3 linked regions of the Elephas maximus indicus genome follow. The protein of the gene in region 1 interacts with the protein of each later gene in a pairwise test. Links are inferred from orthologs where the notes say so. Each region holds a gene or a part of one and is shown in the gene's direction. Other genes may lie near its edges. The genes, in order: FHL2, SAXO1 and ZNF131.

The links.
Region 2: the proteins of FHL2 (region 1) and SAXO1 interact in binary tests that used the Homo sapiens proteins (3 or more experiments, as listed by UniProt). The two-hybrid records come from large-scale screens. The link is inferred for Elephas maximus indicus from reciprocal best matches to the Homo sapiens genes FHL2 and SAXO1.
Region 3: the proteins of FHL2 (region 1) and ZNF131 interact in binary tests that used the Homo sapiens proteins (3 or more experiments, as listed by UniProt). The two-hybrid records come from large-scale screens. The link is inferred for Elephas maximus indicus from reciprocal best matches to the Homo sapiens genes FHL2 and ZNF131.

Annotation. Positions count from the first base shown.
Region 1 is NC_064835.1:80,167,320-80,171,068, forward strand, and holds the start of FHL2 (four and a half LIM domains protein 2), read left to right. Parts: upstream 1-1,184; 5' UTR 1,185-1,449; coding exon 1,450-1,482; intron 1,483-3,749. UniProt on the Homo sapiens protein: May function as a molecular transmitter linking various signaling pathways to transcriptional regulation. Negatively regulates the transcriptional repressor E4F1 and may function in cell growth.
Region 2 is NC_064827.1:28,838,882-28,842,630, reverse strand, and holds the start of SAXO1 (stabilizer of axonemal microtubules 1), read left to right. Parts: upstream 1-966; coding exon 967-987; intron 988-3,749. UniProt on the Homo sapiens protein: May play a role in the regulation of cilium length. Stabilizes microtubules at low temperature.
Region 3 is NC_064820.1:49,608,039-49,611,787, forward strand, and holds the start of ZNF131 (zinc finger protein 131), read left to right. Parts: upstream 1-1,156; 5' UTR 1,157-1,247; intron 1,248-1,442; exon of another isoform or gene 1,443-1,777; intron 1,778-1,851; exon of another isoform or gene 1,852-2,037; intron 2,038-2,257; 5' UTR 2,258-2,272; coding exon 2,273-2,396; intron 2,397-3,465; coding exon 3,466-3,567; intron 3,568-3,749. UniProt on the Homo sapiens protein: Plays a role during development and organogenesis as well as in the function of the adult central nervous system. May be involved in transcriptional regulation as a repressor of ESR1/ER-alpha signaling.

The DNA of each region.
Region 1 (3,749 bases):
GTTGTTAGCCGTTCAGGTTGTTTTCAATTTTTTCCAGTTATAAAAAAGAACTGCACGAAATATCCTTGTAGCTATAACTTTGTCCATCTTCACAATTCTTTTCTTCCAGCAAATTCCCAGCATGGAATCACTGTGTCGACACATACAGCTAGTGCCAAAGAGTCCTCCGGAGAAGTCAAACTCATGTGATTCCCACCCCCCAGCCCCCCACACCCCAACGCCTGCCTTGGATGAAATGCCTTTTCTGCATACTCAGAAATAAGAAATCTAAGGGTGAATCAAGAGCTATCGCACCCCCAGATTAGTCTTCTCCCTCCTCTTCCAGCGTGTGGTTAAACGAGGCTCTAGTAAGATGTCTCTGTTTTAGTTCTATAGAGAAATTATTTGCACCTCGAGAATTATGCATGAGCAGAGAGGATCAGGAGGGAACTTTCTTTAAACGTCTTCTACTCAGTAGCTTCCTACATATTCAACATTTACTATCTGGATCCTTGGTCTTCCCTAGAATTCTTTTCACCCAAGTAAATGTCTCCTGAAGCCAGGGAGAGAGTGAGCACTCCTTTCATGAGGTGGTGCTAAAAATTCTCACCATGGGATCTCCCAAAATGCCAGCTGGCATTGAGCTGATTCCAACTCATGGCAACTCCATGTGTGTCAGACCAGAACTGTGCTCCACAGAGTTCTCAACGGCTATTTTTCAGAAGCAGATCACCAGGTCTCTTTTCTGAGGCACCTCTGGGTGGACTGGAACCTCCAACCCTTTCTGTTAGCAGCCTCTCATGTTAACCGTTTGCACCACCAGGGTCTCTAAAGTGCATGTCGGGATAATGTTTCCAAGACCACAGAGATCCTGTGCAGCCTGAGAGAAATATACTTCCACTCCTGTGCCTTAAAATGCAGTCACCTACTTAAACTTTCACTTAAAGCACAATAAAAATTATTATTAAAAAAAAACACACACACACACAAAAAACACAGTCACCTACAGCCGTTTAGTTTTTGACCTGCCCTTTGCCCTTCAAAGCCATTAATCTGATGAGCACACAGTCATGAGTCCACCTGCCAGCCTGTTGTAAGCTCTGTTGCGTGTCTGATAAAACGAGATCCTTTGCTGGCAATTATTGCTGCCCCTTCACTCAGCGCTGCTCTTTTGACAGTTGGGATATTTTCAAGGGCTGAGATGTCCTTGAAGTAAGTGCTCCAAATGGGAAACTGGCAGCCCCTTTCTGTCTGGGGACTGAGGCTCCTTTAATTTGGATACCTTAAAAGGCCTGCAGAACAGAGGGGCTGGGTTCTTATCTCCTATGGATGGCTCTTTCTCTGGAGGTGCCTTATTTATAGCCCCGTTGGCATGAGCAAGCCCAGCTGGCCAGCAGCTACACACACCACAGTTGGGATAATTCAATAAAGAGGTCAGCCCTGCGCTGTTGCTGTCCCCACTGTTCAGGCATGAGAACAGAAGACAGGGCCACGCCACAGCAGGTAAGGGCCGCTCTTTTCATCTTCTGCCTTTTTCTCTCCATTGCCTTCTTTGCTTGCCTGTGTCTGCAGCAAGGCTTAGACACCAGCTGTGTAATCCGAGGGCTTCCTGCCGTGTGGGGAATGAGTGTCCCACTCCTGGGAAAGAGCTCTCGGGCACTGTGGACTTCCCAGACCCAGAGCAGAGACACAGACATCACTGCAGTTGGGCTCACGGGTGGTGTCGCCACCAATAACAAATCTCCTTTGTAGGCTGTGGGGAAAGAGCTTCCCCTCACAAAGCTACCCTGGTGCCCGCTTGCATATCAAGTACAAGGAAAAGCTGTGGTCATCTCTCCCTCTATCAGCAGGCAGCAGGCCTTTAAACTGAGTTTTGAACACTGGGAAACTTCTTTAAAAGGGGGAAGAAAAAATAATAATAAAATAAACATTGGAGGGGGAAAAAAAACCACAGCGCACTTGAGCTTTTTCTCCATGACAGAATTTCCGGATGGCCTGGGGTGAAAAGGCAAATTACTGATGAATCTGGTTACACACTGGGAAAGAATGTTTATACAGAATGACTTGCTATTTTATGGTTCAAAAGTACAAATAGCTGTTGCTCGCTTTAAAAGGAAATGTATTAATATTTTACTAATTGCCGGAGCAGGATAGACACTAAAATGCACGTAGGGTAATGCTCTAACCAATTGCACAATCATGTCAATAAGGACAGAATAACATATACGATGACATGTATACAATCATTCTTCTAGCCAGGCTCCATGCAAGACACTTTATGAAGTCCAATCTAAAAAGAAAAGAAATTGTCACTCAATATTTCGTTGTTTTGGTTTTTTTTTTTTACTAATTCTGAGGTCAAAAGATAGTATTAATATCTGCCTTACAGGCTAATGCTCTTTTATTGGGTATTTTCTATATATGGGTTTGTCGTTGTTATTGTTTTATGTCTTGAGGAATGTTATTTGAATTTTATTTTATTGCGTGGCTTTATAACAACAAAATTTGCTGGAAAAAGTTCTATTACATTTTCAAGATGCTGCCTATTTTACAAAGTTTTTGTTTTTAACTGAATAGCTAAGTATACCACTCAAATGATTACGTTTTGGGAACTTTTTGAAAAATTAAGGAAATATTTTAATGCATAACTGCCATGAAAGTTGCATATTTTCCCATGCAGCGTTCCCTGAGTGCTGCTGGCTCACCCACAGCCTTGCCTGTCTTCGAGCACATTTTCCACTGACAGACTTCCTCATCCTGGATAATGCTTCCAGAGCTTTCCATAAATTGCAGATCTCAGAGGTCAGGCCAAGACGGTCTCCCCAGTGTATTTCCACAGTACGTAGCACAGGGACCTACAGACTTTCTCCTGGTCCGCAGAATATTTAACATTTAATGCATGGCCCAGAGGCAGCAACTTAAAATCATCCCCTTTCCACCAACCCAAAAACCTGTTGCCATTGAGTTGATTCCAACTCATAGCAACCCTATAGGATAGAGTTAAACTGCCCTATAGGGTTTCCAAGGAGCGGCTGGTGGGTTTGAGCTGCTGACCTTTGGGTTAGCGGCTGAGCTCTTAACCACTAAATGACAAGAGCTTGGCTGCTAACCGAAAGGTCAATATACTTAAAGAAATATATATACACATATGAGTGCATGTTCATGGATCATTGGGTTATTCAGTGATCTCTTTTTGTCCAATTTATGTTCTTACATAAATTTATGTTTTACTGTCTACTCAAAATGTAATTCTTTGAAAATTGATTTTCTCTATATGACATTAGGGAAACCCTGGGGGCATAGTGGTTAAGTGCCACAGCGCTAACCAAGAGGTCAGCCATTCGAATCCACCAGGCGCTCCTTGGAAACTCAATGGGGCAGTTCTACTCTGTCCTATAGGGTCGCTATGAGTCAGAATCGAATCGATGGCAGTGGGTTTATATGACATTAGGTCCTTGAGTGGCTCAAAGGGTTTGCCCTCAATTGCTGACCTGAAGGTTGTGGGTTCAAATCCACCCAGCAGTGCTGCAGAAGAAAGTCCTGGCAATCTGCTGCCCTAAAGAGTATAACCAAGAAAACTCCATGGATCAGTTCTACTGTATAACTCAAGGGGCCGCCATGAGTCTAAATCGACTTGATGACAATAGTCGAGTTTTGGGTTTATGGCTTATATAACATTATGACTTATTCAGTTAGCCAGAATATTAAAATATTTCATAATAGTTGGATAAAATAGGAGTAAAAAAGCATAAACTGAGCATTTAGATAAA
Region 2 (3,749 bases), on another chromosome or scaffold:
CCATAAAAGAAGCAAGAAAATTGGTAGCAGGCCTGAGTCTGCCAATCGAATTTTATATATTTTCTGTGGAAATACGTACTTGACTCCCTACTCAGAACTATGCTGCTGGGGGTAGACTTATTCTCCCCTCCATATACTGGACCTGAGAATTTATGGAGATATGAAGAAGAAGGTCTCAGCACCAGACTTGCCTGGAAAATTTCCGAGGAAGTTAGGTGTGGATTTAGATGGCTAAGTATGTTGTTGTTAGGTGCCATTGAGTCGGCTCTGACTCATGCCAAACCCACTGCCATCGAGTTGATTCCTACTCATAGTGACCCTATAGGACAGAGTAGAAGTGCCCCTTAGGGTTTCCAAGGCTGTAAATCTTTACAGAAGCTGATTGCTATATGTGTCTCCCGAGGAGAAGCTCGTGGATTCAAACTGCTGACCTTTTGTGAGCAGCCAAGTGTTTTAACCACTGCGACCTTATATGTGACAGAACAAAACACTGCCTGATACTGTGCCATCCTTGCAATTGTTTCTATGTTTGAGGCAATTGTTGCAGGCACTGTCAGTCTGTCTCCTTGAGGGTCTTCCTCTTTTTTGCTGATTCAAGTTTTATGTCCTTCCCTAGCTATTGGTCTCTCCTGATGACATGTCCAAAGTAAGCAAGATGAAGTCTCACCATCTTCACTTCTACAGAGCATCCTGGCTATAGTTCCTCCAGGGCAGATTTGTTCTTTCTTCTGGCAGTCAAACACATAAATTCTTCTTTGGTCTTCCTTACTCATTGTCCAGCTTTCACTCACATGTGAGGTAATTGAAAATACCATGGCTTGGGTCAGGCGAACCTTAGTCATCAAAGTGACATCTTTGCTTTTTATCACTTTAAAGAGGTCTTTTGCAGCATATTTTCCCATTGCAATCTGTTGTTTGATTTCTTGGCTGCTACTTCCGTGGGCGTTAATTATTGATCTAAGAAGAATGAAATCCATGACAACTTCAATTTCTTCACCATTTATCGTGTTGTTTATTGGTCCAGGAAACCTTGGTGGCATAGTGGTTAAGTGCTATGGCTGCTAACCAAGAGTTCAGCAGTTCAAATCTGCCAGGCATTCCTTAGAAATTCTATGGGGCAGTTCAACTCTGTTCTCATAGGATCACTATGAGTCGAAATCGACTCGACGGCAGTGGGTTTGGTTTTTGATGGGTTTTATTGGTCCAGTTGTAAGGATTTTAGTTTTCTTTATGTTCAGGTGTGATCCATGCTGAAGGCTGTAGTCTCTGTCTTCTGGAATTCCTTTCTCACTTTCTAGCACCTGTGGTTGCCTTAAGCATGGTCCTCTGGTTCTTAAGAAAGGTGGGAGGTTTTCTATTTGTGTATTAGCTGTCCTGCATCGCACAGACTGGGGCCTGCCTTCAAGCTAGAAATTGTGAAAAAAAGGACACCGACACAGACACACTCTCTCAGTGCCATTCCTTTCCTCTACTATTGGCTTTCCTCCAGAATCTGCCTATTTGAATTGCTCTTTAGTGCTTTCGTGTAGTGGTTTTTATATTTTGTCCAGAGTTTATGTGAAGCAAATGTCAGCCTCAGCCTTAGTGGGGCTGAGGAGTTGAGAGACTAGAAGGAGGAGACAGGCTCTGTGAAACTTGAATCCTGGAGGGCATGTACTTGAAATCCCATCTGTTGTAGTGAGGATAAGGAAGTCTCGATGTGTCCTATCAAGATCACGGCCAAACCCTGTGATTCAAATCTGGGGATCTTTTTCAGTGTGCTGAGATAGGCCTCTCAACTTGCTGGGGATGACAAAATGGTTTTCTATGGTTTCCTTAGAAGGGTGCCTTTTAACCCTGGGAAGCGTTAGAATTATATATGGAAATGATGTAAATCAAATCCATTGACAGACAAAGGGAAAACCCTATAGAGGAGATTGAGAAGGAAGACAAATCATGAGGAGCAGTATCGCAGAGGTCCAGGGAGAGAATATTAAAAAAAGATTGAGAAGATGGATTCTACTCAGAGGGTGCAGTAAGATAAGGATGGGGAAACTGTGATTGGATTTGGAAATAGGGTGGTACTTGGTGGCCTTGCTGAGAGCAAGGAGTAAATAGAATCAGATTATGGCAGGTGGATCATGAGTGGGAGGTGAGAAAGTAGAGTCCACACCTGTAGACAGCCCTTTTTAGAAGAGAGAAGGGGAGGGAGAGAAATGGCAGGGGAGTCCAGTGAGGGTTGTGTCTTACTTCGTTTTTTTTCCTTTAAAGATGGGAGAGACTGCAGCATGTTTACCTACTGAGAGAAAGGAGCTAGGAAGGAAGAAGTGAAAACACAGATAGGAGATGGTTGCTAGATGAGGCTTTCAATAAAAAGGGAAGGGATGAGACTCTGAGCAGGCGTGAAGAGATTTGCTTTGGACAAGAGGAGGAAGGACTCTTTAAAATTGATTCCATCTTACTGATTAATTAGTAGATAAGAACTGCTTTAGGTGAAGGGAAGGACAATACTCAGTACATGGAAGGTCAGCTCAACTGGACTGGACCAAAAGCAAAGAAGTTTCTGGGATAAACTGAATGCTTCAAAGGTCAGCGGAGCAATGGCGAGGGTTTGGGGACCAGGGTTTAAGGGGACTTATAAGTCAATTGGCAAAATAATTCTATTATGAAAATATTCTGTATCCCACTTTGAAATGTGGCGTCTGGGGTCTTAAATGCTAACAAGCGGCCAACTAAGATGCATCAATTGGTCTCAACCCACCTGGAGCAAAGGAGAATGAAGAACACCAAGGTCACACGACAACTAAGAGCCCAAGAGACAGAAAGGGCCACATGAACCAGAGACCTACATCATCCTGAGACCAGAAGAACTAGTTGGTGACCGGCCACAATCGATGACTGCCCTGACAGGGAGCACAACAGAGAACCCCTGAGATGCAGACCCCAAATTCTCATAAAAATACCATACTTAATGGTCTGACTGAGACTAGAGGAATCCCGGCGGTCATGGTCCCCAAACCTTCTGTTGGCACAGGACAGGAACCATTCCTGAAGACAACTCATCAGACATGAAAGGGACTGGACAGTGCGTAGGAGAGAGATGCTGATGAAGAGTGAGCTAATTATATCAGGTGGACACTTGAGACTGTGTTTGTATCTCCTGTCTGGAGGGGGGAGGGGAGGATAGAGAGAGTTGGAAGCTGGCAAAATTGTCACAAAAGGAGAGACTGGAAGGGCTGACTCATTAGGGAGAGAGCAAGTGGGAGTATGGAGTAAGGTGTATATAAACTTATATGTGACAGTCTGACTTGATTTGTAAACGTTCACTTGAAGCTCAATAAAAGTTAAAAAAAAATTGATCCCATCTTAATATGATTGATTATTTGAATATACTAGCAAATTCTTAAATTTGTACAGATAAACATTAAAAATAGGTTACAAAAGTATTGCTTGGTCCTGTTATCTTATCCGTGTGAAAATTCTCCATTTCTGGCTCCCAGGGTCATGACTCTGGTTTAGTTGTCCTTATTTCCTTCTTCCTTTTGTCAGACGACTCTTGTCTAGCACCTTTCTTTAGCTTTGCCAAATGAGTCGATGTCCAGTTGTTATGACTTCCCCAGTGGGGCCACTTCAGCCTTTACTTAACTCTGAGTTTAACTCTTGGCCTTCCATACTGTATAACCTTTATAGCTACCTACTCTGAAAGGAAACTCACGTCTTTGACCAATGTTTGTTTTTGTTTTGGTTCATAGTCACAATGGGCACAGGGA
Region 3 (3,749 bases), on another chromosome or scaffold:
CCCCTAGAACTATCAGAAAGAAAGCCTTCCCCTGGAGCTGACACCCTGAGTTGGGGCTTCTAGCCTACTAGACTGTGAGAGAATAAACGTCTGTTTTTAAAAGATATTCACTTGTGGTATTTCTGTTATAGAAGCACGAGATGACTAAGACAGGGCTGTTGTGTTGTTAGGTGCTGTGGAGTGAATTTTCACTCCTGGCGACCCCATACGACACAGTAAAACTGCTCCACAGGGTTTTCAAAATCGTAATGTTTACCAGAGCTTGTCTTTCTTCCAGCAGGGCAGCTGGGTGGGTTTGAACTGCCAACCTTTCAGTTAGCAGCAGACAGCCGACCTCTTAACTGTTACTTTTTTTAATCTTATGCTGTCATCACCCTGCTAGACCTTGTTCAGAGCCCTAAGTATTAAAAGAAAGTCTAACACCTTTAACATGGCTTACAAGGCCCCCCATAGGTCTGACCCAGCATCATGCTTTCTCCTTCTGGAATGCTTTAATTTTAACACCTTTGCATGTGCTGCACCCTTGGGTGGAACACTCAAACTTTATTTTGCTTCTCTTAGGTCACTGGCTTTCTTTGACCCCTAGATTACCTTGTTCTTAGCTTCTCATAACACTGGGCAGTCAATACCCAGGTGATTACTATTCAAATATCTATCTACTCTATCAGACAGATTCTGAGGGCAGGCACTACATGTGTTTTGTTCACAGTTGTATTCCCCAGCCCTTTACACAGTGCCTAGCACATTGTTGGCTCTCAATGACTATCGGCTACAAGGACTACACTCACCCTTGCATGTAGCTATTTGTGTTTTTGCCTAAACCCCATTCCCAAGTTACTTGAGAGAAGAGAATAAGTAAATCTCAAGTACCATATTATCCTCAGGAAGCATTTCTTCGTTTGAATGAATGAGTCAGTCACATGCATGCGATTATGGATCACCGGCCTCTATGAGTCAGAACTGACTCGACGGCAACGGGTTTGGTTTTTTGATTTGGGTCTCTGTGAGGAGGGACTGTAATAATAGCATCAAGTGTAAATAATTCCGAGCTGATCCAGGTTTCTGAGCATAGCAAACACGTGCGGCCCGCCCGGCGCGCCAGGGGCGGGCACAGGGGAGGAAGATCCTGGGTGGCCGGAACGTGCTCGCCCCCGTGGCAGTCGCAGCGCTCGTGCGCCGGCTGGACGCGAGCGGACGGAACACCGAGGCTCTCGCAGGGAAAATGGAGGGCGAGCCGCGGCCTAGGGGTACGGAAAGGTGTGGGGCGACTTACGCCCCGGGAAGGGAAAGCAGGGAAGTAAAGGATTTAGGGGAAAGCAAGGAGAGTGGGAGGGCCTGGAGCTAGGTAAGGCGGGCCGACCTATGGCTTGGGAGGAAAGAGGGCGGGGCGGGGCGGGGCGGGGCTGGGGAAGCCGCGGAATTAAAGCACGCTGGGAACGGCTAGCGAGTTTAATCTGAGCGTCTGGAGCGCCAGTCTGCGGGGAGGTTTGGGAAGTGGAAGAGCTGCGATTTAGGCTCGCCTTGCCCAGCCAGGCCTTGAATAGGCCTAACCCCACCGCAGTCGAATAGGTTCTTCCCAAAGCGCGCGGTCTCGCCCTCGGCGGGCGCCAAATCCTTGGCTCGCTCCGCCCCAGCCCTAGGAGGGAAGAGCGGGGGCGTAGCCTGCTTCTTCCTTGGTCGGCGCTCGGAAGGCGTCCGCGTCAGCCGGAGTTTGACGCGGTGACGCAGGACGGCGACGTAAGTGACGCGCAGGCCCGGGCCGCTCCTCCTTCCTTGAGTGAGTGCCGGCCCGGTCGGGGCGGGGGAGAAGAGGGAGGGCGGGGGAGGGAGAGGCGACCCGGGAGTCGTTGTGGGCCGCGGGCCGGACCGGGTCTCTGGGCGGCGGTAGCCCGGGCCGGGCGGGAGGGCTTGGCGGGCCGTTAGCGGGCCGCCGCTGCTGTCGGGTCCCCTCCCCTGCCGGACTTGCGCGCCCTGGCACCCGGAGCCTCCGGCGCTGCGCCCACCCCGCTCCAGCTCGCGTCTCCCGACTCCAATTAGGTCAGGCTGGGAGTCCCGCGGCCGCGGCTCCGGCCCCCAACGCGCGGCGGCCACCCGGCTAGCCTTTCTTTCTCCCCTCGCCTTCCTCTCCTCTTGCCTTACCCTCCCCCCTTCTTTTCACGTTGCTGGGGTTTTGTTTTTTGTTGTTTTATGTGTTAGGGGATTTGTTGTGCCTCAGTCCGAGCTCATGGGTGTACATTATCATGCTCCTCTTTTGTAGAGCAACCCGACGGCCATGGAGGCTGAAGAGACGATGGAATGCCTTCAGGAGTTCCCTGAACATCATAAAATGATCCTGGACCGATTGAATGAACAGCGAGAGCAGGACCGGTTTACTGACATCACCCTGATTGTCGACGGTGGGTAGGGTGGTGGGCAGAGGAACGATTTTGTGGCTTCAGTTTTTCCCTTCCCTCACCCACCTTTTATTCACCCGCTATGGGGTCTCTTCCAAAAGTCCGCGGAGGGTGTGCGTAGGGACCAGGGGGCACTTGCCTGTGTCCGCCATGGAGACCGTGCTCCCCAAGCTGTTCGGCCAGTCACGCTTTTAGCACAGTCTGGCGTTCATTGCTTTTTAAGTTCTTGCAGCCCCTTGAAGTTTGGTGTCATTGCACACGAGCACAAGCTGATGCCTTAGGAATAGGGAACATTTCTCTATTTTTTTTCTTTTTTTGGTTAATAATCTTCAGTTGATAAGCTTCTCTTGAGAAGTCTCTCACAGGAAGCATTTGGGAAGTGTTGATTCGTTTCTGGTTTCTCAAATGGTCTTGGAGGGAGAATGTGACAGATTCTTTTTTGCAGCAGTTGCTCCCCTTTGGGAGCCCCCAAAATAAAATAGAGTCTCTATTAGTCTTTCTCAGGGATTGTAAATATAAAGGAGGTGAAAATCTAGCTGTTTAGTGAACATAGGCTTCTCAAGGAAAACTTTTCTTTATTATAGGTCTGCTGTAGATTGGACTTGCAAATATTAGGCATATTAAAATGTTTTCCAGAGCAGACACATCCAAGTCTGTGATTATTCTATGGCTTTTTTTTCTCTCTTTCGAAGTGGTATGTAACTTTTATATTTAGCAGTTTCAAGTTAATAGGATATGCCTTTTACTCCCTCATTGAAAGTAACAGAAAGTGCTTCTTTTCAGTGGTATGAAGCACCTTATCTCCTGAAGTGCAATAAACTGGCCTTTATTAAACTGAGTTAGTAAGGCGTTTGAGGAAGATTACTGCTTCCTGTCTAACAGAGATTAAAATTTGCCAAAATAGCTGCCAAGAATATTGATTTCAGTTCAATTTATGTTTCCAGTAATTTATGTGTTTATATATTTACATTATAAAGAAAAACATGTTACTTTATATAGTTTTTTTTTTTTTTTTTAACTTGTTTATGGTTTTACACTTGCCTTTTGTGATTGTTTTTCTTTTTTTTCTTAGGGCACCATTTTAAGGCCCACAAGGCTGTTTTGGCCGCTTGCAGTAAGTTCTTCTACAAATTCTTTCAGGAATTTACTCAGGAACCTTTGGTGGAGATAGAAGGTAAATACTTCTTTTAAATGCAACACTTGAGTAAACATTATAACCAATGAAGAAGGTTTAAACAGTTAAATTAGCAAGACACCATGGGAAGCAGGCATCAGTAGTTCCTATTAAGTGACTAGATAAATTGTTCTTTTGGCACTTGAGAATTCTTACTTTTCACTAAAGTGCTTGGTAAGATG